4 linked regions of the Stegostoma tigrinum genome follow. The protein of the gene in region 1 purifies or fractionates together with the protein of each later gene. This does not show direct contact. Links are inferred from orthologs where the notes say so. Each region holds a gene or a part of one and is shown in the gene's direction. Other genes may lie near its edges. The genes, in order: vcp, ubac2, hspb1 and cullin-1.

The links.
Region 2: the proteins of vcp (region 1) and ubac2 purify together in Homo sapiens (affinity purification with mass spectrometry; 3 studies listed by BioGRID and IntAct, with this or other methods). This does not show direct contact. The link is inferred for Stegostoma tigrinum from reciprocal best matches to the Homo sapiens genes VCP and UBAC2.
Region 3: the proteins of vcp (region 1) and hspb1 purify together in Homo sapiens (affinity purification with mass spectrometry; 3 studies listed by BioGRID and IntAct, with this or other methods). This does not show direct contact. The link is inferred for Stegostoma tigrinum from reciprocal best matches to the Homo sapiens genes VCP and HSPB1.
Region 4: the proteins of vcp (region 1) and cullin-1 purify together in Homo sapiens (affinity purification with western blotting; 4 studies listed by BioGRID and IntAct, with this or other methods). This does not show direct contact. The link is inferred for Stegostoma tigrinum from reciprocal best matches to the Homo sapiens genes VCP and CUL1.

The regions. Positions count from the first base shown.
Region 1 is NC_081354.1:133,138,713-133,146,318, forward strand, and holds the start of vcp (transitional endoplasmic reticulum ATPase), read left to right. Parts: upstream 1-4,474; 5' UTR 4,475-4,662; coding exon 4,663-4,679; intron 4,680-7,606. UniProt on the Homo sapiens protein: Necessary for the fragmentation of Golgi stacks during mitosis and for their reassembly after mitosis. Involved in the formation of the transitional endoplasmic reticulum (tER).
Region 2 is NC_081359.1:17,621,515-17,629,547, reverse strand, and holds the start of ubac2 (ubiquitin-associated domain-containing protein 2), read left to right. Parts: upstream 1-4,881; 5' UTR 4,882-4,965; coding exon 4,966-4,996; intron 4,997-8,033. UniProt on the Homo sapiens protein: Restricts trafficking of FAF2 from the endoplasmic reticulum to lipid droplets.
Region 3 is NC_081380.1:6,803,218-6,810,277, forward strand, and holds the start of hspb1 (heat shock protein beta-1), read left to right. Parts: upstream 1-3,850; 5' UTR 3,851-4,075; coding exon 4,076-4,436; intron 4,437-7,060. UniProt on the Homo sapiens protein: Small heat shock protein which functions as a molecular chaperone probably maintaining denatured proteins in a folding-competent state. Plays a role in stress resistance and actin organization.
Region 4 is NC_081355.1:98,233,402-98,240,503, reverse strand, and holds the start of cullin-1, read left to right. Parts: upstream 1-3,868; 5' UTR 3,869-4,148; intron 4,149-7,102. UniProt on the Homo sapiens protein: Core component of multiple cullin-RING-based SCF (SKP1-CUL1-F-box protein) E3 ubiquitin-protein ligase complexes, which mediate the ubiquitination of proteins involved in cell cycle progression, signal transduction and transcription.

The DNA.
Region 1 (7,606 bases):
GTCACAGGCTTTCAGTCTGAAAAACAACCCTCCACCATCACTCTCTGCCTCCTGCTGTTAAGCCAATTTTGTACCCAATTGGCAAGGTCACCCCGAATCCCATGCAATCTAACAGGTCTACCATGCAGAACTTGTCAAAGGTTTTACTAAATCCTCTGGCTACCCACTCATCTTCACCACACTGTATGCTTTTCTTTTGTTTTAATGCTATCCCCAAATTCTATTGTCAACCATGGTTGCCTCATCCTCCCCTTAGCATATTTCTTCTTCCTTGAGATGAATTTCTGCTGTTTCTGCAAACTACCCCTAGAAATTCTTGCCATTGCTATTCTATCATCTTCCTTGCTAGGCTCCTTTTCCAATCAACTTTGGCTTGCTCCTCCCTCATGTCTATGTTCTTATCTTTACTTAATTAAAGTACCATCACATTTGATTCCAGTTTCTCCCTCGCAAACCACAGAGTGAATTCTATCATATTGTGGTCACGACCCCCTTGGGATTTCTTCACCTTAAGGTGCCCAGTCAAGCCTGTCTTCTTAAATATCACCACATCCAGAACTGTCTGTTCCTTAGTGGGTTCTACCACAAACTATTCCAAAAACTCTCATTGACATTCTACAAATTCCTTTTCATGGGATCTGCTACCAACCTGATTTTCCCAGTCCAATTGTTTTTTTGGAGTCCCCTGTAATTATTATAATCGTGCCTTTCTGACATGCTTTTTCCATCTCATGATTTATTTTCTGCTTCACATCCTGAATACTGCGAGGAGGCCTGTACATAACTCCCACCAGGGCGTTTTTCCCTTTGTGGTTCCTCAACTCGGCCCACACAGATTCTACACCTTCGATGTCACATCTTGCCAATCTTACGAACAGGTCAACCTCAGCCCCTCCACCCGTACACCTGTCCTTTCAATGAGATGTGTATCCTTGCATATTTAGTTCCCAGCCCTGATCCCCTTGCAGCCATGCAAAAGTATGCCCACAACATTGTACCCACCAATGTCAATTTGCACGACAAGCTCATTTACTTTGTTTCATATACTGCACATAATTAAACACAACACCCTTAGTCCTGCGGAGATAGTAGGAACTGCAGACGCTGGAGAATCTGACATAACACGGTGTGAAGCTGGATGAACACAGCAGACCAAGCAGCAGAGGAGCAGGCAAGTTGATGTTTCGGGTCGAGACCCTTCTTCAGAAATGGGGGAGGTGAAGGGGATTCTGAAATAAATAGGGAGAGAGGGGGAGGCGGATAGAAGATGGATAAAGGAGAAGATAGGATGAGAGGAGACAGACAGGTCAAAGAGGCAGGGTTAGAGCCAGTGAAGGTGAATGTAGGTGGGGAGTTAGGGAGGGGATATGTTGGTCCAGGGAGGACGGACAGGTCAAGGTGTTTGGATGAGATTAGTGGATAGGAGATGTGGGTGGGGCTTGAGGTGGGTGGAATGGTTAGGGAGGCGGGGACCAGCTGGGCTGGTTTTGGGATGTGGCAGGGGGAGGGGAGATTTTGAAGCTTGTGAAATCCACATTGATACCATTGGGCTGCAGGGTTCCCAAGCTTGGTTTCCCCGATGTAGAGGAGGTCAGAACAGGAACAGCGGATACAGTATTTCACCTGCACATATGTTAATGTGATATACTGTATCCGCTGTTCCCGTTGTGGCCTCCTGAACATCGGGGAAACGAAGCGGAGGCTTGGGGACCGCTTTGCGGAACGCCAACGCTCAGTTTGCAACAAACAACTACGCCTCCCAGTCGCAAACCATTTCAACTGCACCCCCCACTCCTCAGACGACAGGTCCATCCTGGGCCTCCTGCATTGCCACAATGGCGCCACCCAAAAGATGCAGGAACAGCATCTCATATTTCACTTGGGAACCCTGCAGCTCAAGGGTTTCAATGTGGACTTCACAAGCTTCAAACTCTCCCTTCCCCTGACCGCATCCCAAAACCAGCCCAGCTAGTAACCCCCTCCCTAAATATTCCTCCCATCTCAGGCTCCACCCCCATCTCCTACCCACTAACCTAATCCCACGTCCTTGACCTGTCCGTCCTCCCTGAACTGACCTATCCCCTCCCCAACTCCACATCTACATTCACCTTCACTCGCCTCTTTGACCTGACTGTCTCCTCTCACCCTATCTTCTCCTTTATCCATCTTCTATCTGCATCCCCATCTCACCCTTTGTCCTGCTTTCATTAGCTCCCTTCTCATTGTTGTCCCCTTCTCCACTGTGCCTGACGTTAGATTTTTGACCCCTAACCAACCACCCCCTACTATTTGGTTTAAAGCCCTGTCCACAGCCTTGCTTACATGATTTGTCGGCATGATTGAGGTGGAGCCCATCCCTTCAAACGCTTCATCCTTCCCCAGAAGTGTTGACAATGTCCTATGAATTCAAACCTATTTCTTCCCTAACTATCTTTGAACTGAGTGTTTACCTCTTTTTTTAATCTTGTTGACCCTGTGTCAGTTAGATTTTGGCTCAGGTAATAATTCAGAGATTGTTACCTTATTGGTTCTGTATTTTAATTTAGGCCCTAGCTTCTCACATTGCCTCAGCAGCACCTCTTTCCTCTTTCTACCTATATCGTTGGACCATAACAACTGGATCTTTCACCTTTCATTCCAAGTTCCTCTGCAGCCCCAATGAGATATCTTGAACCAAGGCACTAGAAAGGCAAAACAGAACTCTCAATCCTGGCCACAGAGATCAGTGGATACTCCCCTGACTATATTATCCTCAATTACAACTACATTTGTCTTTTCTCCCCCCTCTTGATGGCTCCCTGAGCCACAGTGTTATGGTCATTTTGTTCATTCTCTCTACAATCCCTGCGCTTGTCGACACAGGGAGCAAAAATCTCAAACCCGTTAGACAAGCTCAAGGGCTGAGGCTCCTTCAACACTACCTCTTGGATCCCTCCACTTGCCTGGAGGTTGTACTGAAGCAGCTTCAATACTCAAATCTCAATATCATGTTAATGTTAATGTTCATATTCATGTTAAAGCATTTTGATAAAGGCCAGAAGAGCATAAGTTATAGAGGCAGAATTAGACCATTTGGCCCCCTGAATCTGCTCCGCTGTTTGATCAAGGCTGATATGCTTGTCCACCTCATTCTCCAGCCTTATCTCTGTAGCTTTTGCTCCCCTAACCCAATCACAACCTCCTGCAGCAATGAGTTACACAGATTTACCACTCTCTGGCTGAAGAGATTCTGTCTCATCTCAGTTCTAAAGTGTTGTCCCTTTTCTCTGAGGCTGTACCCTCAGTTCCCGGTCTCTCTTATTAGGGGAAACATCGTCTCCATGTTCACTCTATTCCCCCCTCATCCTTCTAAACTATATTGAATACAGACCCAGAGTCCTCAACTGTTCCTCATATGTCAAAGCCCTTTATCATCAGGATCATTCTTGTAAACCTTTTCTGGACCCTCATCAAGGACAACATATCGTTTCTGAGACACACAGACCAAAACTGCCAACATTGTTCCAAATTCATTCTGACAAGAGTGTTATACAGCCTCAGCAGTACAACACTTCTCTTGTGTACTTGCCCTCTTGAAATGAATGCTAACATTGCATTTGCTTTCCTAACAGCCAACTGAACCTGCATGTTAGCCTTAACAGAATCATGAACTAGGACTCCCACGTCCCTTTGTGCTTCAAATTTCCAATGCCCTTCTGCATTTAGAAAATATCTAAACTTCTATTTTTTCTACCACAGTGCATAACCTCTCACTTTCCCACAATGTGGTGCATCTGCCACTTCTTTGTCCATTTTCCTAGTTTGTCCAAGTCCTTCTGTATCCTGAGACAATATAGTGTGGAGTTGGATGAACATAGCAGGTCAGGCACATCAGAACAGCAGGAAAGTTGGCCTTTCTGCTTTCCTCCAGCTGTGTTGTCTCCAACTTCTTAGTAATGAGCACTACGCTCACCTTTGCCGTGACTCTCTTGACATTCTCATATAAAGATGTTGCAGTACTTGCAGACCATCGTCTACGCCCGTCTTTCTCCACGGACTACCTTGTCTAAGCCCACTCCCTTTTGATATTCTTAATGACATATTAATGTAGCAACAGGAGGGAATGGGTTCCATACAAACTGCCATCTGTTAGACCTTGAAAACCAAAGGACCCCGCAGTGAAAATTGTTAAGGATTACAATCACCAATGGTCAAATGGGAGGTGGCAAGTTATTTGGAAAGTTTCAGTTTCAAAACGAATCAAAAATTATTTGCACCACGATGAATGAGATGCCGACAGCCCTGCCACGACACACGTTCATCAAGCTTGACGGAGCAGTGCGTTAGAATGACTCGACAGAACAAGCAGCGCGATATCCTTTCCGGATGTGGAGATTGACAGTTAGGGGCGGGCGCACACGCTCGCTTTAGCGGCGCAGGCGCGGTGGTGGGCGGGGCTGCGAGGTCACGGCTCCGAGAGAAGGTTCTGGATTGGGTAGCCTCGTTGTGAGTTCGGAGTGACGCGGCGGAGCGGCTGCCAGGGGCTTTTTTTTGGTACTTCGGCAGCTGGGGCGAGAAGGGACCATTGAGTGACAGGGAAGACGGCACAAGAAAGGGTTAAAATATTGTCCATCAGAGGCTAAGAGAAGTGAATCCCTGTGAGCAAAGGGAGACTGATCGGCAATGGCTTCGGGAGGAGAGTAAGTAAGACCTAGGATGGATCAGTGAAGCGGATGGTAGTTCCCAGTCTCGTTGAAGGCCGGTAGGCCTCAGGCTTTTCCTCGTCTACTGCAGGAAGGGGGAAGGGAGAGGCAGGTTTGCTCCTCGCCTGATTTCACTGTGTCATCCTGGCCTAGTTGGGAGAGGCTGCATCTCATTGAAGAGACCTGATCTCAGAGCGGAATTTCTGCCTTCGGTTTATTTTCACCAAAGCCCCCTGTCTGGAAATGGAGTTAAAAATCGCTTCGCAATTATTTGCTGCAGTTTGTTTCGGCCGAGTTATGAGGATGACGAGGGCGATTTTTTTTGTTTTGGGGGGGCTTATTTTGTGGAGTTTGGCATATTTGCTGACATTTTGTAAAAATCGAGACGTAGCGAAACGGGATTTAATCAATTTTCGTTCATTTTCCAACCTCTAACCTGGCTCATATCAAGGCGAGCGTGCAATAATATGTGATTAACTGAAGTTTATGTTTATTTTCGCGGACATATTTGATTTTTTTTCTCCCATTCCCTTCACCTGCAACTGTAAAAATTAATGTGGTATGGCTAGGTAGAGATCAAAGTAACTGAATGTCTACATCGTTATAACAGATGACTTCATGAGACTTTCCTTTTTGAGTTTGGATTTTATGTTTGTAATTATAAATTCACTTAAGTTGCTACAGTGCCATACAAACGCGTAATGGTCACTTAGTTAGCATTTTGCCTCTGAAATAATCCTAAGATTTTATTATTCTCACGTATTGAGATACAGTGAAAAGTACTATTTTGTGTGCTATCCAGCTAGATCATACTTTACATAAGTGTACATTATGGACATTTTGAATTAAATCTGAAAATGGTTATGATCTGAATTGCATTACTTGAAAGGTTGGTGGGGCAGTTTTAATTTTGGCTTTTAAAGGGGAATTTGATACCATTGTCAGAATTGCAGGCAACTGGAACGACAAGCATACCAAATATGAGTACAAGGTGAATTTTGTATCAGAAGGTTTCCTGTACTGCAGCTACTCTGCTTATGTGATTTTCAGTTGTGTATAAATTCCATGCTGTCAGAAATAATTCTTCAATGTGTCAGTGGAAAACTTTCAATTTTTGTCTACCAAAAAAAAGTGCTGTTCTGTGTGTTAAAATACGTTTTAAGACAGTATATATAAAATAGCATCAAACCGATGATGATATGAAAAGCTTGTTTAGAAATAAGATTACATATGCAGCTGGATATTACATGGTCCCTGAAGTTTTGTTTTATCTTCAGAATCATCGTTTAGATTATGCTAAGGGATCGAGAGTTCCAAATGTCCAATAATCTCCATGGTTAGTGAGTGCTGCCAATGTTACCAGCCCTGGTAATCTTGGATATGATTACTCTTTACTTCAGACTTAGCAATGAGCTGTTACACTCAATTGTGTGGAAGTGCCATGTTCTCTAATTTATGGCATGGAATGATATACGTTTGAGCTATGTTATTTACTTTAGTTACAAATAAAGCTTGCCTCTGAGTCTGCCAAGCAACACAATAAATACCCCCTCTGTATTCATCTGTTATACTACACTCCATAATTACCAGGAGAAATTATTTCAAATCATCTCAACATTGAATGGTTGCTTAAAAACAGGAGGTCTTCCTTTGTCTGAAGTTCTCTGATTTTGTTTTCTTTGACTGATGTTCTTAATCATACAACAAAAATTTGCTTGTTGACTGCAGCCTTAAGTAGTGTTAAATTTTGTACTTCCTGTATTCTCATTGAATTAGACATACCTTGACATATCCCTGTTCTTTACCAAAATCAATTGTCACACGGCTAATATCTTACAAAGTTTGGCAGCACAAAAGTGAAAATAGTTTTCATACTCCTTTTTTATGCTAGGAGTTGATATTGAACAATTATATCAAAGGCTTTCTGAGGTGAAGAATCTAATTACATTATGGTGGTTTGGTTGTTCCATTCTCTCCAGAGTGAATGCTTGATTGTTTGAAACATCATCCTAACCCCATGAAATTTTTTTAACCCTCCCTAAGCTTCTCTGTCACTCTATCTCTCTGTTTTTAAAATCACCATTTACAAGTTTAACCAATTTTTTTGGCTTGTTGTCTATTTTGTGGAAGTTACATATAAATGCAAGTTGTCGTAACTTTTCTGCCTGCTCACATTGTGAAAAGTTCTTGGTTACTTCATGAAATGTGAGAAGCAGGTTGGGATTTTAACTTGAAATAAATGCCCAGTCATTCTTCAAAAATTGGAACAACCCTGTGCATGTCAGGTGAGAACGGTAATGAATATGATTGTGACATCTCCCTGAATCGATACTTCATCATACTGTGGGGATTTATGCCTGAATAATGGGCATTTGGTTGAGGTGTTGAAGGGGTGCTGGCAACTGAGAGTTTGTTTTTAAATCATAGGACATGGACATCACTGGCGAGGCTAGCATTTATTGCCCACCTTTAATTCCTTTTATGGTGGTTAGTGCCACCTTGAGCTGCTGCAGTCCATAAGAGAGAGTTTTGATCTCCTAGTCTCAGGAAAGACATTCTTGCTATTGAGGGAGTCCAGCAAAGGTTCGCCATACTGATTCCTGGGATGGCAGGACTGACATTGAAGAAAAACTGGATTGAATTGTCTTATGCGATCTTGTAGAAACATATAAAATTCTGATGGGACTGGACAGGCTAGATGCAGGAAGAATATTCTCAATGTTAGGGGAAGTTCAGAACTAGGGGTCACAATCTTAAGAATAAGGGGCAAGCCATTCAGGACTGCGATGAAGAAGAATTTCTCCACTCAGTGTTATGAACCTGTGGAAGTCTGTACCACAGAAAGCTCTTGGGCCATTCGTTAAATATATTCAAGGGGGAACTGGACGTGACCCTTTCGGCTAAAGGGATCAAGGGGGTATAGA
Region 2 (8,033 bases), on another chromosome or scaffold:
TGGAGGTTTCCTTACCCATTTTTAACCTGATGCTTGAGACTTCATGGGGTCCTGTGTCAATGTTGAGGACTTCCAGTGCAGTTCTCTCCCGTCCGAATGCCACTGTGCTGCGACCTCTGCTGGGACATACTCAGCGATGGCATTGGTTTGCCTGGGACATTGTCTGAAAGGTAGGATTCCCTGAGTATGATTTTGCCATGATATAAGGTATTCTAAATGTGAAAGTGGGACTTTGTCTCTACAAGGACTGTGTAGTGGTCTCTTTTACCGATACCATCTGCTTGAATGGTCTGTGAGACAGTTCTCCCAATTTTGGAACTAACTCAAAGATATTTGGAAGATTATAATGGTAAAGTGGGAGAATATGTGGACATGTCTGAAGTGTTTCTTTAAAGGAGGTCATTGGAAGTTATTGTGGCCTTTGGAGATCTGTTTTAACAATGTTTCCTGGAAATAACAGGAGTGGTTATGCCTTTTGCCTTGCTATAGATCCTGCTGGAATTGTTTTGAATCATGATTGCCTTATAAAGTGTTTGTTTTAGCTGCGTCATACAGGGGAAAGCATACTATGACCAAGCTGCCTAGCTGATCTTTTACATTTCTGCAAAGAAAACCTTCCGCATCACTTCAAGGTGAAACCTATTTGCTCTTTTGAAAAGGTGATTGATAGAGCATCTCAAGATTATAATTTCTGAGCAAGTTATATTTGCAAGACTTCAGGGGCAACCACACAACATCATTGATGTGACCAAATATGCAAAAGTATTCATGCAATAGATTTTGTAACATCGTATGCTGTATCTTTTTGTCTTCAAGAATAATCAATTGACAAAAATGCACTTTATTTTAATAAGAAAACCAATCTCTTCAGGCATTTATTTGTTTTTTTTATCCCTTCTTTTCCTGAAGAGTGTTTGGGTCCGTGTGTTTTGGGAATATTTATAGGAAGCATATTTATACATCTGTATTACTCTATGAATATATTAACCAATTGTTGCAATTGAATAACTCTTGGTTCGAAAATAAATCCCAAATTGTGCTTATTAATGTGGATAAGGTTTTTGGTTTATTATCTTGGTGATGAGAAAGAGCATTTTTTACCTTAGTGGGAGTGCACTCCTCCAACCTCAGTCATAACAATGCATTTAACAATTGGTCATGTAATGATTTGACAGTCTTTGTCTGCACATATTCTGCTTAATCCTGCTATGAGTGATGTAAAGATCAATGACGGGTCTGATTACAGTTGATAAGATAAAACAGAATTTCTTCCAAATAAATTCAATAAAAAGGAACAGTGCAAAAGACAAGTTCAGTTTCAGAATTTGCTATTGGGCAAAATTCTAACTTGATGAAGGTGAGTAATAGGGTCATGTCCAACATTGCATAGCCTCCTCTTACAGCATCTCTGATTTGTTCACCAATTATCTTAAACCTATTTTTCTTTCGTCAGCAATCCTCCTGCCAGTAGAAACAGCTTGTCTTTACTTACTCTATCAAGTCACTTAACTTTGAACATCTCAATTAAAATCTCACTTAACTTCTCAGTTCTAAGGAGAACCATTGCAGCATCTCCAATCTTTCAACTCAACGATAGTGCCGTAACTCGGTTATCCATTCTAAATCAGCTTCACAGATACCTGCAACAAGTTACTAGAGATAGGTATCTAGTTTTAAATGGCATGAATATAATTATCTCTTCAGCCTAAATTCTTTTACAATCAAAGATTCATTAACAGAACTATCGAGATGCATGGTGAATGATTTGAGATGGACGTAGTTTACAATGTAAATAAATATTGCCATCTGGTGGATTGTGGTACTAACTGCAGAAAGAAACCATGCAAAACCTAATGGGGTTCACAAGAGGCCATTGGGCCAGCAAGCTTATTAGTTCTACAAATTGTATGTTTTGGTATTTTGAGCCAGTTAAACCTAAAAGAGTCAAGCAAAACAACAAACGGATGGGGTATAAAAAAGAAATTTGTGGGATGTGGGTACCATTGGTAGAGCCTATATCTGACCATCCTTAACAACCCTTAACTGAATGGCTTTCGATGTCATCTTAGAGAGAAGTAAAATCACAATTCTGTGATATAGGAAACATGAAAAGGCCACACTAGGTAAGGACAGTAAATATTTATCTAACAGATGTAGGTTGGTAGAGTAGCTCTGTGGTTAGTGCTGCTACCTCACAACACTAGGGACCCAGGTTCATCTCCAGCCATGGGTAATTGTTTACATGGAGTTTGCATGTTCTCCCCATGTCTGTGTGAGTTTAATTGGGTACTTCAGTTTCCTCTCAAAGTCCAAAGATGTGCAGGGCAGATGGACTGGCCATGCTAAAAAAAACCCTGTCCTGTTATAGGGATGTGTAGGATGGATGGATTAGTAATGATAAACATGGGACTAAAGGGCCTGGCCCAGGTTGGCTACACTTTGGAAGTTCAGTATGTGCTGAATGGCCTCTTTCCACACGGTACGTTTTCTATGACATTAGTGAACTCAATGTATTTTACAACAATTCCTTAATTTCATGGTCACCATTACTCATCATGCTGGCGGTTTTCAATGTCAGATTTATGTTGGGTAAAGGTACAAGGGTCTGAAAGGATTAATATTGATATTGCCTTAAGCACCACCCAGTAAAGTGCTGTCATTGTGGCTTTCATGGGAAACCCGATCAGGTGCAACATGAGTCTGGGTCTATCTCATAGTTTCTGTAATAGATTCTATTACATAATGTCACTTCTACTAGCTGCTTTCATGCAATACCATAGTTCTTATTTAGGACAACAGTAAGTGCTTTATCTCTACCAAGCAGGCCTGTAGATTCCTACCAAGAAAGAGGATGGTGAGTGCAATGGGATAATTGGGTAACAATTTAGCTGCTTCCTGCGTTTCTGGTAGCAGTGGAGGTCTGAAGTGTGTTTCTGAGAGGGAACGTACCTAGCCACATGACCAATGGTTGAATTTTTTTTGTCTCACTGGATCCATGTACTAGGGCCAGTGCTCCCAGTTGTGACTTCTTCTCTCAGCTCTTCCCGACATAACTTATATCTTTCTCTGCAGAAGTCTCCTCACTGTATCTCAAACCATGGGCTATCCCATTACCTGTCTCTGAATAAATACCAATCTAACTAATGCATGTTCAATATTGAAGTTTATACAAGTACCAATTTCTTAGTATGTACTAGTGAGCGTACTCCTAGTGAGTATAACTATTACTATTAGTATTAATGTTACTGACGTGGAATAAATATCACTCATAAAAAAGCTATATAATTATTACTGTTGTTTGTATTAACTATTGTCACAGAATATTGTTTAAAAAGACACAGTTTGTTAGAGCATTTCACCTTGCATTCATCAGAAGAAGTCATAAAACATACCAAAGAAAAGTGAAAATAACATTTACACTAAAAGGGTACTCTGCTTATTGCACAGCTGGATAATGGTGTATGAATTTTACTGCTTGTGTGTTGCTAGGTATATAGGCCATGTGTTCAAAGACTGGAGGATTGCATCAAGGAATATATCTCTCCACCTGGATGAAACAAGCAAATTAATGACTGTACCCACTCAGCCACACTTGTGAAATTCACAAAACAATGTCCAACATTAGATGTGATTCTGCGACTGGACAACACTTGCTGGATAATTCTGAGGGGATGAAGGATTAAGCCGATAACCAATTTAAGATTATCAGTCAGGCTAGCAATGTCATGCACTTGTGTATACTACAAGTTAAATATATTAAGACAAAGAGCCCTGCATATTGCAAACTTGAAGGAAATGTACACATGCAACCTGTTTCAACCCAAGAATAATAACAACAGCCATTTTCTGGTTCATATCTCAGGATAATAACTTGACCAATAGGAGCCAACCTACTAGCTTTAAAATGTAAGCAAAGTTTTACAGTTTACTGTCAGTCAACATTAACTGCTGCATCTGCAGACCAAACTTTCTCACAATCTGAGTCCACTTGCAACCAATCAGTACTTGCCTGTCATAAATTTTAATGATGCGTTTTCCCTGAATTGGATTTTATTTATTAATGATATCATCAACAGAACTGAGAGCAAGAAGAAAAAGCTTTGACAGATATATCTCCTTTTTCAGCAGCAGTCAAGTTCTGTTCTACCACACATAGGAACTAGGGGAAGGCGTTTAGCTGATTGAGCTTGCTCTGCTGTTTAATATGGTCACGGCTGAGCTCATCTTGGCCTCAGTTCCACTTTCCTGCCTGTTTTTGATAACCTTTCAAACTGTTACTAATTAAAAATCTATGTTCTCTTTATATTTACTCTATGTGCTAGCATCCGCTTCAATCTGGGATAGTGAATTCCAGATTCATGACTTGGAGAGAAGCAATTACTCCTCATCTCTGCTTTAAAAGTGTTTCACCTTGTGCTAAAACTATGACCTTTTGTTCCGGATTAAACAAATACTTATTACTACTAATAGAACTATTAGTATTAGCCAAATATGGCTCTTTAAATCAAGCTCTCTAATAATTATGAACATGAATACTATTAATAGTAATTTATAGTGATGAATGCTATTAATTGTAATTAATAGTAATTAATGTTATTAGTGTAGAAAATACTGTTAGTGAGAAAACACAGTCAGTGTAAACGTCATTGTCAGATAAAATTACTACGACGTGAATACAAGTATCAGTCCCAATGAATGTTTCAGTCTCCAGGATCAGGTCGAGGGGGCGGGGTCTGGAATGGGAGGCGCGGTCAGAGCGAACATGTGGGGCGAGGGCGAGCAGGTGTTTTAGAGCCAGGAGCGTGACAATGACGTTGGGGCGGGGACAAAGTGAGGGGTGGGGTCTAGATGAAGGGTGGTCTTGGCGGGGAAGGGTGTGGTCAAAGGCGAGAGGCGTGGTCAACATTGGGGATGGGGTGAGGAAGAAAGGGCGTGGTCACCGCGTGTGGGCGGGGCCACGGGACGATGTTCGCTGGGACTGGTTCCAGCGGCCTCTGTGAGTAACCGAGACATGGGAGTGGGAGTTGGGGCAGCTCAGGGAGTCCTGAGCAATGGGAAACTTTTCTGTTGATTCTCCCCGATTCGAGGTGGAGACGGTTGGGCCGGTGCAGTGAATGGCAAGCGCGGCACGAATATGGAGGCCTCGTTGGGGGCGGGGTTCGCCAATGAGCCCAGGGAGAGGAAAGGAAGGGTCTGGGTCCTACACTGACCCCGCTCCAGACACCATGGCCGGTAGGCCTGGCTACATCCCTGTCTGACTGACACCACCCTGAGACACCCCCCAATGTCTGCCTGACACCCACCACCAGACACCCCCCCCCATGTCTGCCTGACACCCCCCCCATGTCTGCCTGACACCCGCCCCCAGACACCCCCCCCAATGTCTGCCTGACACCCGCCCCCAGTGTCTGCCTGACACCTCCCCACAGACACCTGCAATGCCTGTCTGACGATCCCCCAGACACCCGCAATGTCTGTCTGACAATCTCCACCTGCCCTGTCTATCTGCACCCCACCCTCACCCGCCCCGTCTATCTGCACCCCACCCTCACCCGCCCCGTCTATCTGCACCTATACCCACACCACTCCATCTGTCTCCAACTGCCTGTCTGCACATCACGCCCACCCGCCCCGTCTGTCTGCACCCGAACCCTGCCTGCACGCCACCCTCACCCACTCCATCTGTCAGCACCCCACCCCCTGCCCCGTCTGTGTGCACGCCACCTCCACCCGATCCGTGTCTCTGCACGCCACCCTCACCCACCCTGTCTGTCTGCACCCCACCCATACCCACTCCATCTGTCTGCACCCCAACTGCCTGTCTGCACCCCATGCCCACCCGCCCCGTTTGTTTGCACGCCACGCCCCCTCACTTCCCGTCTGCCGGCACTCCCCCACCCCACACCGCGTCTGTCTGCACTCCCCACCCCATGCCCCGTCTGTCTGCACCCTCCCCCACACCCTGTCTGTCTGCACCCTCCCCCACACCCTGTCTGTCTGCACCCTACCGTCTGTGTGCACTCCCCCCAACACCCCGTATGTCTGCAACCCCACTGCACCTACCCCACCCTGTATGTCTGCAATCCCCCACCTCACCCACCCCATCCCACCCCGTCTGTCGGCACCCCCCTTGCTCCCCACCCCATCTGTCTGCACCCCCCTTGCTCCCCACCCCATCTGTCTGCACCCCCCTTGCTCCCCACCCCATCTGTCTGCACCCCCCTTGCTCCCCACCCCATCTGTCTGCACCCCCCTTGCTCCCCACCCCATCTGTCTGCAACCTCCTGCTCCCCACCCCATCTGTCTGCAACCCCCGCACCCCACCCCGTCTGTCTGCGCTCCCACCCCACCCCGTCTGTCTGCGCTCCCACCCCACCCTATCCTACCCTGTCTGTCTGCACTCCCCCTCCCACACCCCGTCTGTCTGCACTCCCCCACCATGCCCTGTTGTTCTGCCCTTCACTCACTGCTCCCCCACCCCGTCTGTCTGTACTCCCCCACCCCGTCTGTCTGTACTCCCCCACCCCGTCTGTCTGTACTCCCCCACCCCGTCTGTCTGTACTCCCCCACCCCCGTCTGTCTGTACTCCCCCACCCCAGTCTGTCTGTATTCCCCCACCCCGTCCGTCTGTACTCCCCCACCCACCCCACCCCACCCCACCCCACCCCACCCCGTCCGTCTGTACTCCCCCACCCACCCCACCCACCCCACCCCACCCCGTCCGTCTGTACTCCCCCACCCACCCCCCCACCCCCCCACCCCGTCCGTCTGTACTCCCCCACCCAGCCCGTCCGTCTGTACTCCCCCACCCCACCCACCCCGTCCGTCTGTACTCCCCCACCCCACCCACCCTGTCTGTACTCCCCCACCCCACCCACCCACCCACCCACCCCGTCTGTCTGTATTCCCCCACCCCACCCACCCCGTCTGTCTGTATTCCCCCACCCCACCCACCCCGTCTGTCTGTATTCCCCCACCCCACCCACCCCGTCTGTCTGTATTCCCCCACCCCGTCTGTCTGTATTCCCCCACCCCACCCACCCTGTCTGTCTGTACTCCCCCACCCCACCCACCCTGTCTGTCTGTCTGTCCTCCCCCACCCCACCCACCCTGTCTGTCTGTCTGTCCTCCCCCACCCCACCCACCCTGTCTGTCTGTCTGTCTGCACTCCCTCTCCCCCCCACCCACGCACCCACCCAATCTCTTTGCACACCCCACCCACACACCCACCCCGTCTGTCTGCACTCCCCCCACCCACACACCCACCCCGTCTGTCTGCACTCCCCCCACCCACACCCACCTACCCACACCCACCTACCCCGCCCCACTCCCCCTACACCTCCCACCCCCCCCCCACCCCACCCACACCCACCCCCCCCACCCCACCCACACCCCCCCCCCCACCCCACCCACACCCACCCCCCCCACCCCACCCACACCCACCCCCCCCACCCCACCCACACCCACCCCCCCCACCCACACCCACCCCCCCCACCCCACCCACACCCACCCCCCCCCACCCCACCCACACCCAACCCCCCACAGCCCCAGACCCCCCGCCCATCCTCCGCCACCCACCCCCGCCCCCCCCTCCCCCACCCACCCCCACACTGCCACTCTGTCTGGGCCATTCAGTATTCTGAAAGTTTCAGTTAGATCCCCCCTTATCTGTCTGAACTCCAATGAGTATAGTCCCAGAGTCCTCAAACGTTCCTCATGTGTTAAGCTTTCCATTTCTGGGACCATTCTTGTGAGCGTCCTCTGAACCTTCTCCAGGGCCAGCAGTACATCCTTCCTGAGATATGGGGCCTCACCTTTGCACTTACAGTATGTCGTGACCCAAGTCTGTGCCTCCAGAGAGAGCAAAAGCATGCCCAATATTTAGGCTATACTGTCAGAGATGACTCTCGCCCTCTTCGGCAAATGACTTTGAACATAGTTTGAAGAGGAGCAGAAAATTCTCCTATTTGTTCATCTCTACAGCAGATTACTGACTGTGCAAGATTGTGTGTGAAAGTAGTCTGAGTATACTA
Region 3 (7,060 bases), on another chromosome or scaffold:
TCCTCTGACATTACTACATCAACATTTCTTCCCTTTAAAGATCTTTATTCACTTCCTCCCCAAGAGTGTTGGACGAGGAGAGCGAACATTACCCCTACTAAATCCTTAATTCTGATTACAGAGGTTACCTTCTGCTTTCGGCTATCGCAGTCTCACACAGGGCTTCCACAAAGTTGGATCATCCTTCATAAGGGCCCTCAGGAATTGCTGGATGCCTGTCCCTTGCTGCTAACCACCCTCACTAATTATAGGCTGGGAACAACTCCAGCAACACATCAACCACATGCCTGGTCTGGTTGCTGGGCTACCACACATTGTTGATACATAAGCAAATAAATACATTTCTAATCAAGTGATAGAATGCCTCTCAGAGGAGTTACAAGAAAATGCAAAATTCCCCTACACAACATTCCAGAGTGTTGCAATGTCACTGGGCTAATAATCTATCAGCAGACTCACCGCCGCAATAGAATCGAGTTTGGGCCGGTGCGGTACCCAGTGGCGTCAGTGGTGTCTGCATTGGCAGGGTCCAGTGAGGCCTCATAGTGGTGAGGGTGTTGGTGGGTGCAAGACGGTGCCACAAACTGGCGACTTTTGTTCCAGGAGCAGCAACATGGCGAAGGCAACTCATGCCTGACTACCAGGCCCATGGCCCATGGCGGTGCGCTTAACAAGGAGGACTGTAAAGTTGAACACTTTTTCTCTATTTCTTTAGCTTTTCTACCTTTTATTCTATGTTTTGGTTTATTTGGCTGTGCATTAAGATTGCATTGAAGAGTGGTGACACTGTATTACACTTTTCACATTATTTGTAACAAAGTACATGCAAAAATAAATAAATCAAGCCAAATCCTAACTGCCCTCTGAAATGAAGAGGCAAACCATTCAGTTAAAAGGCAATGAGGGATGGGTGAAATGCCCACATTCCATGAAAAAGAATACAGAAGATTATCACACCAGTCCCAGATCCTGGAAGTGAATTTTCCAAGTGCATTGGCAGCTCACTCTCATTGCTCCGAATGGATCCTTTTCATGAGTAGATTTGTAATCACTAATTCAGGTGTAGTCTCTCTATGTAAGGTGGGGCTGCAGGCTGCAGAGGTAGTCAGGCCCACCTGGGATGTGAGTTTCAGCAGAGCCTGAGGCAGATGCATCTATAGTGCCACGGTAGCTGTCAGTCTAAGGGGACAGACCCTGAACAACAGGGTGATCAATCTGTTAACTCGCGTGTTACACAGGAGTTGACAGGCTTTTTCGCTCCCCGACCAGACAGCCGGTGTTACAGGTGACCAGCAGTGAAACAGATAGAGAGAGACAGCCCCAACAGATTTGGGGAAATAACACAAAGGCGGATTTGTAATAAAGTGGATGGCAGCCGTGATGACATGTCCAAAGTAATGACGGTCCAAGAATAAAGGATGTGACTTGGACACATGCATCGAAGCTGGGCCCAGATGATGTGTAGATAATTGCAGTAACATCTTGCCATTTGCCAAGATTATGTTCCTCAGAGACTTTGTGAGCAGTGTTTTGGTCAAAGACTGCATATTTTGCCAAATTCTTCACTAGGTGGAGCATTGCAGTCTACCAGAAGAAAGACAGTTGCATTACATCAATTGCAAAACTAAAAGTGTCTGAAATTCATTCCAGGTAGTGAGCAAGGAACCAGACCAAAACAATTTTTGACAGTATCTTTTCGACTTGTTGTAAGATCCATGAAGCACAGCAACAATCATTAACAGACTGTCCGCTTCTTGGCAATCTGCACTTTAGACTAGATTACCTTTGGGCTGCAGGTTTAACGTCACACTGCACCTGTATGGAGGCCAGGTGTTGACCAGTCACCAGGCATGCTGACTTGCAGTGAAAGTTACAGACTGATTATAACTGTTGCTGTATTCTCCTAGATCTTGCAACTAGTCTAAAATTGAATGCTGTGCCGGCATGACATTGTGGGAGTGACTGCGAACGCACAGACGGTGCTGCAGAGTAGAGACTATTGCTCCAGTAGCAGTGACACAGCGAAAGCAGCTCATGCCTAACTACCAGGCCCATGGTCCATGGCAGAGCACATAACAAGAAGGAAATGATTTTTGCATCGGGAATAGGCACTGCACTTCACTAGTCGTGAACATGACATTCCATGTGTGCACAGAGCAAGATGTATGAGCAGTGCAGACGGATATACTGCATAAAATGGTTGGCAGTGTTACATTATGCACAGTACGAGGTGCATGCGCAATGCAAAATGCGCTTGCAGTTATACGTGCTGTGTCTTACACGTTTAGTGCGAGTTACGTGTCCGTGTGTGAGCTATACGCAAATGCGAGGTTTTGCACTTTGGAAAAAAGAATACAGGCATGGACTATTTTCTAAATGGTGAGAAAATTCATAAAGCCGAAGTACAAAGGGACCTGGGAGTGCTGGTCCAGGATTCTCTAAAGGTTAACTTGCAGGTAGAGTCCGTAATTGAGAAAGTGAATGTAATGTTGTCATTTATCTCAAGAGGGTTGGAACATAAAAGCAGCGATGTGCTTCTGAGGCTTTATAAAGCTCTAGTTAGGCCCCACTTAGAATACTGTGTCCAATTTTGGGCCCCACACCTCAGGAATGACATACTAGCCCTGGAGCGTGTCCAGCGGAGATTCACACGGATGATCCCTGGAATGGTAGGTTTAACGTATGAAGAGCGGCTAAGGATCCTGGGATTGTACTCATTAGCGTTTAGAAGGTTGAGGGGAGATCTAATAGAAACTTACAAGATAATGTATGGTTTAGAAGGGGTGGACGCTGGGAAGTTGTTTCCATTAGGCGGGGAGACTAGGACACTTGGGCACTGCCTTAGAACTAGAGGGGGTAAATTTAAAACGGGAATGAGATGACATTTCTTCAGCCAGAGAGTGGTGGGCTTGTGGAATTCATTGCCACGGAGTGCAGTGGAGGCCAGGAAGTTAAATGCCTTCAAGACAGAGATTGATAAGTTCTTGATCTCACAGGGAATTAAGGGCTACGGGGAGAGTGCAGGGAAGTACATTCGAAATGCCCATCAGCCATGATTTAAATGGCGGAGTGGACTCGATGGGCCAAATGGCCTTACTTCCACTCCTATGTCTTATGGTCTATATGGGTAGCTCAGTGGCTAGCACTGCTACCTCACAGTGATACAGAGTGAGGATCAATTCCAGTCGTGGTTGACTGTCTGCATGGCATTTGCACATTCTCCTTGTGCTTTTACAGTCCAAAGATTTGCAGGTTAGGTGGATTGGCCGTGCTGTAGTGCCCAGGGATGTGCAGGTTATGTGGATTGGCCATGTTGTTGTGCCCAGGGATGTGCAGGTTAGGTGGATTGGCCATGCTGTAGTGCCCAGGGATGTGCAGGCTAGGTGGGTCAGCCAGGGTTACAGGGATAGGGGAGTAGGGAGGTTCTAGAGGATGTTCCTTGGAGGGCCGGTTTGGACTTGATGGACAGAATGGCCTGCTTTCGCACTATAGGGATTTTCTATGAGTTACAGGTGCAGTGCAATATGAGATGTTTGTGCACGGTGTATTTTCTGCCTGCAGGAAGTAAGTTTTCTTTTCATTTATTTTCTTTAAAAACCTGGAGAAGCCCAGATTGGGTGCAGAGTGGCCAGAATCGTACACACAGTCCGTTTGGGGACCGGATTTTACTCTAGCCCAGGGAGGGAAGTCGAAACCCAAACACCAACTTCCCAATCAGAGATTTTCAGAGCACAGAACGAGGTTGTTGGGCCCATCCTTACTGTGCTGGCCCTCTGCAAGTAAAGCAACTGAGCTCCTGGCGCTTTGTCCCGGGGTGTGTACATGGGTGCAAGAGGGAGTGTTGTGTCTAGTGTCAACAAGCTCATTTTCCAAACTCTGATCCAGACAATCGGAGAGACCATTCGGGAATCCTGGAGAGCTTGAATTCCGCACCAATGAGGGCAGACCCTGTAATCGGACTCGGCTGGAATCTGATTTAAATATAGCCCGGGATATAAAAGCAGCGCCGTGCCACACTTCTGGCCCAGCGTTAGCCCGGCTCTGCCTCTCTCTCTCTCTCTCCCCCGCTGCCGCGATGTCCGAGCGCCGCATCCCCTTCAGTTTCATGCGGAGCCCCAGCTGGGATCCGTTCCGGGACTGGCACTACCCCGGCCGGATCTTTGACCAGTTCTTCGGGATGCCAGCCTTGCCCCACGACTGGTCGGCCACCGACTGGCACGGCATGTGGCCGGGCTATTTCCGACCGTCCCTGGCGGCCCCGAGCGGGGCAGCGGCTCCTGCCAGCGGCCAGGACAGCGGCTTGAGCCGGCAGCAAAGTACAGGAGTGTCCGAGATCAAAGTGACCTCAGATAAGTGGAAAGTCAGCCTGGATGTCAACCACTTTGCCCCGGAAGAAATCACAGTCAAGACCAAGGATGGGTACGTGGAGATCACTGGTAAGCTCCCTCCAGATCTCTTCATTTGTAGTCTTGCTATTTCCAACTTTCCCCAAATACTTTTCAGAGCCCCTCATTGGGTTAGTCCCTGGGCCAAGAGTTTTGAGTCCCTGAATTCCATCACCACCCCACCCAACCTTCACTTTCCTGTTGGACTGGAGTTAGTGTAAAGCCCAGTTTTTAATTTTTCTTAAATTATATATTGTTTAGCCAGTCTGCTGTCGGGAAAGTCAGAGGGCCCAGGATTGCAAAACGAGGGTGTTCCTGGCCAACGGCCCAGAGCCCAGGGGAAATTACTTCGCTCAGCCCCTTGTGGGTGTTGGGATCTCAGTACTCGGAGAGTTGCATAGATTGGAGGCTTCTCTCGGGGAATCGAGGGGTATTGAGTGTGGCTGGGAAAGTGGATTTGAAGCCAGGGTTGTATTTAATGGCAAAACAGGCACGATGGGCCGAATGAGCTACTCCTCTCTACTTGTTGTGTTCTTCTGTGCCCAATTCTGCTCGCACCTCTTTCGGATGAATGTAACGTCTTACAGGAGTGGGCTTGGGGAAGGAAGATTTGTGAGAATGAATTGAGGGATGGAGGAGTAGTTTGATGCCCGAGGGAGGTTCAATCACGATGCCAAGGAAGCAGGTGTTAACCTGCAATATCCTTCTAATACGCCTTTAGCAGGCAGCAAGAGGGTGAAGATCTCCTTATCTGCTGTGCCTCATATGGAAGGGCATCTCTCAAAATTGCTTCTGGAGTGAGGCTGGTGACATGTTCTGGGAGGAACAAATCATGTAAATGGATTTTTGGGGATGTAGGTTTCACCAGTTGGACCAGTATTTATTGCTCGTCTCTAGTTCTCCTTCAGAATGGGAAAATCTGCGGGCCAGTTCACCTGGCTTTTGAAAATGCTGGAATATGTTATTAAGGGAGTGTGAACAATGTGCATGGCAAATCATAGTTCATAGACAAAGTAAACATAGTTTTATGAAAGGGACGGCATGTTTGACAACTAATTGGATATTTTGCCCATCTAACCAGCGGTGGGGAACCGGTAGATGTAGTGTACTGGGATGTGAGCTTCAATAAGGTACCACGCGTAAGGTGCTATTATGTAGGTGAGGGGTTTATGGAGTTGGGAGCAATAGGTATTCTAATGGTCAGATCGCCCTTGCTGAAGTCGAAATGGAAGTTGCATATCAAGGCCATGCAAAATTCTCAAGGCAGCTGGCTCCAAGGGAATTGCACTGGAACTTGGTATTATTATTGGCAAATTCCCTGCATCAAGATAATTCTGAAAAAGTCCCTTGAAGTCGAGAATTCAGAGGGTTCAAACTCCATAGGCCCACAGGTTATCCAGGAAAGTTTAGAGGATTAAAACTTGTTTTAATACCTGGGTAAATATTAATCTGAACTTCCTGACTATGCCCACCCCAACCCAACATTCACCCCCGTCACCAACTCCACCCCATCTGATCCAACACAGCTCCCTAACACAACCCCAACACCCGCATATGACCCAACAACACCACACTCCTTCCAATCTGACCAGATACCATCCATACCCACTGCCATAACACTTGCAGAGACACCAGAACCAAAATGCCTCTTCTTAACACAACCCCTCCTCCACGTGATCAAACACTCCACCTAATCCGATAACACCCTCAATGTTTCGACTTAATACCTTCCTACCCCTCAACTGATATCTCCCAGTCTGACCCAACATAACATCCCAGTCATTTTCCCAGCCCCAGCTCCAACCTGAACTGAAATGGCAATCTCTCCTAAGTACTCATCCTCCTGTGAGGCACTCCGGGACTCAATCTATCTGGCTTCTTTTTCAGCTTGCACATCTGGCATTTTACCCACTTCTTCCTCCCCTGGAACCCTACCTACCTGACCCTAACTAATCTGTGACTTTTCCCCATTACCCACCTGGCTCATGCCCCCCACTCACTGGGACTGGTCCCTCCTGCTGCCCCTTCAAGTATGTACTTACCTTTCACAGTAGATTTCAAAGTGCCTGCTGACCATTTAAAATGAAGACCAACGCATTAAGTGCTGCAGAAGGTGATGTAGTTTCAACAAAAACCCTTTGCACTTCGGGATTTGAGGCTTGCTTAGACTGGCTCATACCAAAAGGCTCTAGAACAGAAATCTCCAGGGCAGAAGTGGGCATTTTTAAAATTTGATCGGGGTTGGAAATAGGGTTTCTGTCTCTGACTGGGGTTGTGGTCAGATTTTTCAGCCTAACAGGAAACAGAGAGATGGATAAGACCTTTTCGAGATGGCAAGCTGGGACTAGTAGAGTATTGTTCATTGCTGAGCCTTATCAATTTACAATCTATATTTGTGACTAGATGAAGAGATTGAGATTAATGTATCTACACTTGCTGACAATACAAAGCTGGTTAGAAATGTAAACTGGAGGCAGCAGTGAGACTGCATTGGGAGACAGAAAGCGGAAGTGAATGGGCAACATGATGGGATATAATGTGGGCAAGTGTCAGCTTATTCAAAAACCAACACAAATTGCTGGAGAAACACGGCAGATCTGTGCAGAATCTGTGGAGAGAAATCAGAGGTAATGTTTTGGGTCCAGCGACCCTTCCAGAGAACAGATACTGCCAGA
Region 4 (7,102 bases), on another chromosome or scaffold:
CCAGAGTCCAGAGACAGTATATTCCTGTTAGGGTGAAGGTCAAGGCTGGTAAGTATACGGAATTCTGGATGACTAGAGAAATCATGGTATTGGTCAAGAACAAGGTAACACATGTCAGGTATAGACAGCAGAGATCCAGTGAATGCTTAGAGTACAAAGGCAGTAGAAGTATACTTAAGGGGGAAATCAGGAGGGCAAAAAGGGGGCATGAGGTAGTTGCAGGTAGATGGGATAGTGAAGAAGACGTTTGGTATGCTTGCCTTTATAGGTCAGTGCATTGAGAAAAGGAGTTGGGAGGTCATGTTGTGCTGTACAAGATGTTAGTTAGGCCACTTTTGGAATACTGTATGCAATGCTGGTCTCAAAGAACAAAGAAAATTTACATTATAGGAACAGGCCCTTTGGCCCTCCAAGCCTGCACTGACATGCTATCCATCACAACCGAACACCCCTACCCTTCCAGGGACCATATCCCTCTATTCCCATGCTATTCATGTATTTGTCAAGATGCCCTTTAAAAGTCTCTGTAGTATCTTCTTCCACTACATCCCCCAGGAGTGAGCACCCACCACCCTCTGGAGAAAACTTGCCTCAGTTATCACCTTTAAACCTTGCCCCTCGCATTAAACCCATGCCCCATGGTAGCTGACTCTCCCACCCTGGGGAAAAAGCTTCTGACTGTCTGGTCTGTCCGTGCCCTTCATCATTTTGGAGACTTCTATCAGGTCGCCCCTCACACACACTCATTCCAGTGAGAACAATCCAAGTTTCTCCAACCTCTCCTCATAGCTGATGCCCACCATACCAGACAATATCCTGGTAAATCTGCTCTGTACTCTCTCCAAAGCCACCACATCCTTCTGGTAGTGTGGTGACCAGAATTGAACATAATCCAAATGCAACCTAACTAAGGTTCTATAAAGCTGCAACATTACCTGCCACTTTTTAAACTCAAAGCCCTGGCCGATGATGGCAAGCATGCCATATGTCTCGTTGTCTACCTTTTCCGCCTGCGTTGCCACTTTCAGTGAGGAATGATGGTGTGAAACTTGAAAGGGTTCAGAAAAGTTTTACAAGAATGTTATCAGGATTGGAGGTTTTGAGCTACAGGGAGAGGATGGATAGACTGGGGTGATTTTTTCCCTGGAACGTCAGGCTGAGGTGTGAGTGGCACGGATGGGGTAAATAGACAGACAAGATCTTTTTCCTAGGGTGAGGGGAGTGCGAAACTAGTGGGCACAGTCATAGAATCATACAGCATGGAATCAGTCACTTCAGACCAACCAGTTCATTCCAAGCATAATCCCAAACTACACTCGTCCCACCAGCTTGCTCCTGGCCTCTGAAACCCCATGATTCAAGAATTGACTTAAATATCTTTTAAATGTTGCAATTGTACTCGCATCCACCCCTTCCTCAGGAAGTTCATTTTGTATGCCAACTATCCTCTGTGTAAAAGAAAAAATTGCCTGTCTTTTTAAAATCTTTTCTCCTGCCTTAAAAATGTGTCCCCTAATGCTGAAATTCCACATCTGAGGGAAAAGACAACTACCATCAACTTTATACCTCATTATTTTATAAATTTTTATCACTAGCCCATTGGAGGTTCAGAGGTGACCTGGAAAAAAGTCCCAGCCTTTCTTTATAACTCAAACCTTCCATACCCAGCAGCATCCTGGTAAATCTCTTCTGAACCATCTCCAGCTTGTTAATATCCTTCCTGTAACTGGGCGCTTAGAACTGGACAGTATTCCAGAAGAGGCTTCACCAATGTCCTGTACAGGTTTAAGGAGAGTGGGTAAAGATTTAAAATGGACCTAAGGGGCAACATTTTTCATGCAGAGGGTGGTGCGTGGAAAGAATGAGTTGCCAGAGAAAGTGGTGGAGTTTGGTACAATTAGAACATTTAAAAGGCATCTGGATGGGTATGTGTAAAGGGATACTGGCAAATGGGTATAGATTTGTTTAGGATATCTGGTCAGCATGGATGACTTGGACTGAAAGGTTTGTTTCCATGCTGTAAGTCTCTCTCCGACTTTAAATCAGAGTTTGACTAAAGGGAATGTTGCTGATTGACAGGATGTGACAGTGGTGTCCTCCAGAAATCTGCTGAGTTCAGTTTTTCACCATATTTGATCGATTCAGGTGAAAAAATTGAAATTTGTATATTTAAGTCTGCAGATGAGACAAAGTCAGGAAGATCACAGCAGGCCAAGCAGGAAAGCTGATGTTTTGGGCCTAGACTCTTCCTACTACCTCAGAACAATGATAGGTGTGGTTAGGGAAAATATATTGCTTCTGGCTTTCACTGTGGGGAAGCCTTAGTCAAACCAGAACTATTCTGAAGCCATATCCATCTTGGGTCATTAACTCTGTTTCTTTCACCACAGATGCTGCCAAACTAGCTAAGTTTCTCCAGAACCATGTCTTTGCTTTAGAGTGGTGGAATGGCAAGTGATGTGGTGTGGTACATAATTCACAAATCACTATTTCTGGGGAGAAACTATTTCTTATGGTGGGGATCTAGAACAAGAAATCTATACCTTTTAAAATTACAGATAGGTCAGAACATGGCTTTAAGTTGAGGGGTGAGAGATGTGGGACAGATGTCAGAGGTAGTTTCTTTGCTCAGAGTAGTAAGGGAATGGAACGCTTTGCCTGCAGGGTAATAGATTCGCCAACTTTAGGTACATTTAAGTTGTCGTTCCATAAGCATATGGACATACATGGAATAGTGTAGGTTAGATGGGCTTGAGATCGGTATGACAGATTGGCACAACATCGAGGGCCGAAGTGCCTGTACTGTGCTGTAATGTTCTATGTCTAAGTGTGGGCGAAACGTGGAACTATTTTGTTCTAGGCTGTAAATGCTGGGTGTATTGAAGTAATCAAATTGGTATAGGCAGACTGTTGATAACAAAGTGTAGAGCTGGATGAGCATAGCGGGCTAAGCAGCATCAGAGAAGCAGGAAGGCTGACGTTTTGGGTCTTGACCCTTCAGAAAATGATTTTCTGAAGAAGGGTCAAGACCCAAAACGTCAGCCTTCCTGCTCCTCTGATGCTGTTTGGCCTGCTGTGTTCATCCAGCTCTATACCTTGTCATCTCAGATTTTCCAGCATCTGCAGTTCCTATTATGTCTCCGCAGACTGTTAGGTTAAATACGATATGGGTGACATGCGAGTATACAGGGTTGAGGTACAGACGACTTGTGATTTGATATTGGTGGATTAGGTTTGAATGGCTTCTGCCTCATTTAGAAGTTGATCCCATAGCAACAGCGTTTTTCGGTCTATTTCTTAAATAAGGAATTCGCAATTTGTTGCAAACACAACAACATACTTGGGGGACGTGACTAACCTCCCAGGGGCCCATCTTCACAGTTGGGTTACTCGAATCTTTCATATCAAATGTAATCCTGGAGACATCGAGAGGATTAAAAACCAGGAAAGGAAAAATGAGAATTAACGTTTCAGAATGGTTCTGAAGACGGGTCACATTATCTCTCCCATTATCCCAAAATTTAACTGATTGTTTTCCCTTCACAGACACTGCCAGACCTGCTGAGCTTTTCCAGCAACTTCTGTTATCATCAATTCTTCCAGTATTTAAAACCAGTAAAACCTTGCGTGGTCAGTACAAATGTGGCAAATGCCTTTTTAATATATATATTAATCTATCTCAAACTTAAATAGCTGAATATCTGATTTCATTTAAAAATTTAAAAAAAATTGAACCCTCTTACTGCACAAACCTCGTTGAGTTTTTTTTTGGGGGGGGGACCTGGTAGACAAAAACATTTCGCGTTTCTTAAGAAATAAAACAGTCGCCAGCAAAATTTTCCGGAAGCCCAGCTGCAATGAGATCGAATCCCTTCTGTGATGAACAGTTTGTTCCAACGATGTTATTTGTTTGTCGAGACTACCTCACGTGTTTGCCCTTTCGTCATTTTATTAAAACAAACTGAAGAGGAGCTTAGCTGAGCTGAGGGAGAGGCCCCGAGGATGTGGGCGAGCGGCGGAACTGTTGTTTAAGGAATTAGTTGCAGGCGGCGGGGCGGAACCTGTGGAGACGAGGCGCCGGGAGTCGGTTGAAAAATTAAATCGGAAGCAGAGTGGCGAAGCGGACGGAGCCGGTGAGGGGGACGATGGTGAGTGAAGTGGAGGCGGCGGCGGCTGGAAGGTGGGGTTGGAGGGAAAGAGCTCTGGGGTTCCCCCCGCCCCCCAACCATTGCCTCCCTGACTCATGGTGACTCGGGCCGTTTGCGGGAGGCCGCAGTCACCGCCATGTTGTTGGCAGAGCCCGAGGCCCAGGGACAGGCCTCTGGGATTTCCCCCCACCAAATCCCGACCTCACTCCTCAGTCAGTCGGCCCCAGCGGCTGAAACTTTTAGGTGATGGGGTCGGTGCTGTGTAGCAGGAGTTGGAAGCCTCTGTCTCCGTATGGGGAAGGTTTCTTTTTCGGCCGTGATGAATCTGAGAGCCGAGGCTCTAATCTAGGCCTGTCCCGAGAAGCCGGGCCTTGGGATTCCTTCTGTTTGTGGCGCACTGCAAAGAGGAGCTGATTAGTTTCCGCCTACGGCCGGCGACAGATTCTAGTCGTCCTCGCCGGCCAGTTTCCGCAAATAATCTGGGATCCCCCTTACCCCCACTCGGCTCCAGGGACCGAGGCCTCGATCTTCGTTTGATTCGACGCTTTGTGAGCAGCGCTCTGGATCCTAAACATTGCCCATAAATAAATTGCTGCAATGTTATCTAGTGGATTAAAAGCATCTGGGTTTCCGCATATAACCTACATTCTATCGTTTTATTTAAATAAACGAAATAAGTTGTCACGAAGTCTTGCACAGTTGCCAACTTAACTCGTCACGTTGTTATTTCTAAGACTTAAACGCTTCGTCTGTGTCAACAAAAGCACTGTTTAGAAGATTGCGTTGCACCAAAAATCACTTCCCGTAATTCAACCTAGTAGTTCTTAGTTTGCCGCTGTTTGTTTTATACAATGACGCACTGTGATTGCTTCTACCCCAATTGACATGCTTCAGTCAGTGGATATGAAACAAACATTGTTCTCTTCATAACTTGGTCTTGCCAGTGTTGTGGAAAAGAGCCTTAGTATAGTGTATATGTAAAATGTTACTGTTTAACAGTTTTGTGTACTGTCTTACAACTCTGTGATTTGTACTTTATGCATACTGTTGCTTTAAGCCTTTGTCTGATGTTTACAGACTTTAACCAAGAGATGGTATTTTTCTCAACAGCAGTTGAGGAAATGTCTCGGGGCCTCCCAGAGAGAAATGGAATGCCTTGTGTAGAGCTGGTGCCAAGTGGTTCATTGTGGCAGATTCAGTAATCTGACATCCAATTAGGGGGTCAGCGGTACTTATGCACTTACTTGGATCATTAACTAGCTAGTTGACAAATATATGGCTTTTGGAGGTGGACTCTGCAGTGGATGCTGGAATCCTGGAAAACTATGCTAATACGTTGCAACAAACACAAAAGCCCATCAGAGCAAGCAGTAGAAAGCAATGGAACTATTTTTGATTTTACCTGAAATGCCTTGCTTCGTAGAATTCAGTGCTCAGATTCTCCGAGATCAGATGATCGTGTATGTTATCTGTATGAGGCTGTGGAAACTCACCATACATCCATTTGAGTAGTTTAGCCTGCAGGTAATTAATCATTTTCTCCGGGTGTCAATAATTCTATCCTTTGGTTCAAATGCTCAAATTGGTATAGTTTAAATACCTGTTAGCATTGCATCATTTAAGATTGTGAGTGATTTGGAGGGCAATCTGTGGATGGTGGTGATCCATCTATCTGTCCTTATGCACCTGACAGATTTTGGATAGATCACTTGTTGCAGAAATTTTAGCCTATCATTGTCTCTATTTCTGTTTTCTTAATTTGTGGAATGTGGTAATCACTATCTGGCTAGCATTTGTTGCTCATCCAAATGCTGTCTTCAATGGCTGCAGCCCTTAGGGTAACTGGAGACCACTGAGTTTCGAAGGATGTTTCAGATTTTGACCCAGTGAGACGGGTGGTTTGTCATGACCCAAAAGCATAGGGATTTTGACAGTGTTAATATCATTGAATATAAGATAACAAAGTGTGAAGCTGGATGAACACAGCAGGCCAAGCAGCATCTCAGGAGCACAAAAGCTGACGTTTCAGGCCTAGACCCTTCTTCAGAGAGGGGTATGGGGAGAGGGTTCTGGAGTAAATAGGGGAAGGCAGAATGAAGATGGAGAGAAAAGGAGATAGGTAGGGAGTGGGATAGGTCAGTACAAGGAAGACGGACAGTTCAAGGAGGTGGGATGAGGTAGTAGGTAGGAAATGGAGGTGTGGCTTGAGTGGGAGGAAGGGATGGGTGAGAGGAAGAACAGGTTAGGGAAGCAGAGACAGGCTGGGCTGGTTTTGTGATGCAGTGGGGGGAGGGGAAGAACTGGGCTGGTTTTGGGATGCAGTGGGGGAAGGAGAGATTTTGAAGTTTGTGAAGTCCACATTGATACCAATGGGGCTGCAGGGTTCCCAAGCGGAATATGAGTTGCTGTTCCTGCAACCTTCGGCTGGCCACGTTGTGGCACTGCAGGAGGCCCATGATGGACATGTCGTCTGAGGAATGGGAGGGGGAGTTAAAATGGTTCACGACTGGGAGGTGCAGTGTTTTGAGTGTTGAGCAGATGACGATTCTGTCTTGTTGGAGATGGCCTTTACTTGCTCCTAGTTTGGCATGGGTGTCACTTTCCATCCAACTGTCGAAGCCTAAATGTTGTCTAGGCATTACACATGCGCAGTGACAGCTTCGTTATGCAGGAGTCATATATGTTGCTGAATGTTATGTAATCATCAGCATACACCCCTAAATCTGACCTTGTGAAGGGATGGACACTCATTCATGAAGCTGAAGATGTCTAGGCCTTGAAAGTCTTTCTTTGTGACTCATGTTTCAGGGTTGTAACTGTTGAGATGATTGCTCTCCATCAACGGCAATTATCTTACTGAATGCTACATACAATGTCAACCAGTGGCGAGCTTTCAGAGTTCAACTAGATTTTGCAGTTTGTTAAATTCTGTGCCAGTGACAATGGTTGGTAAC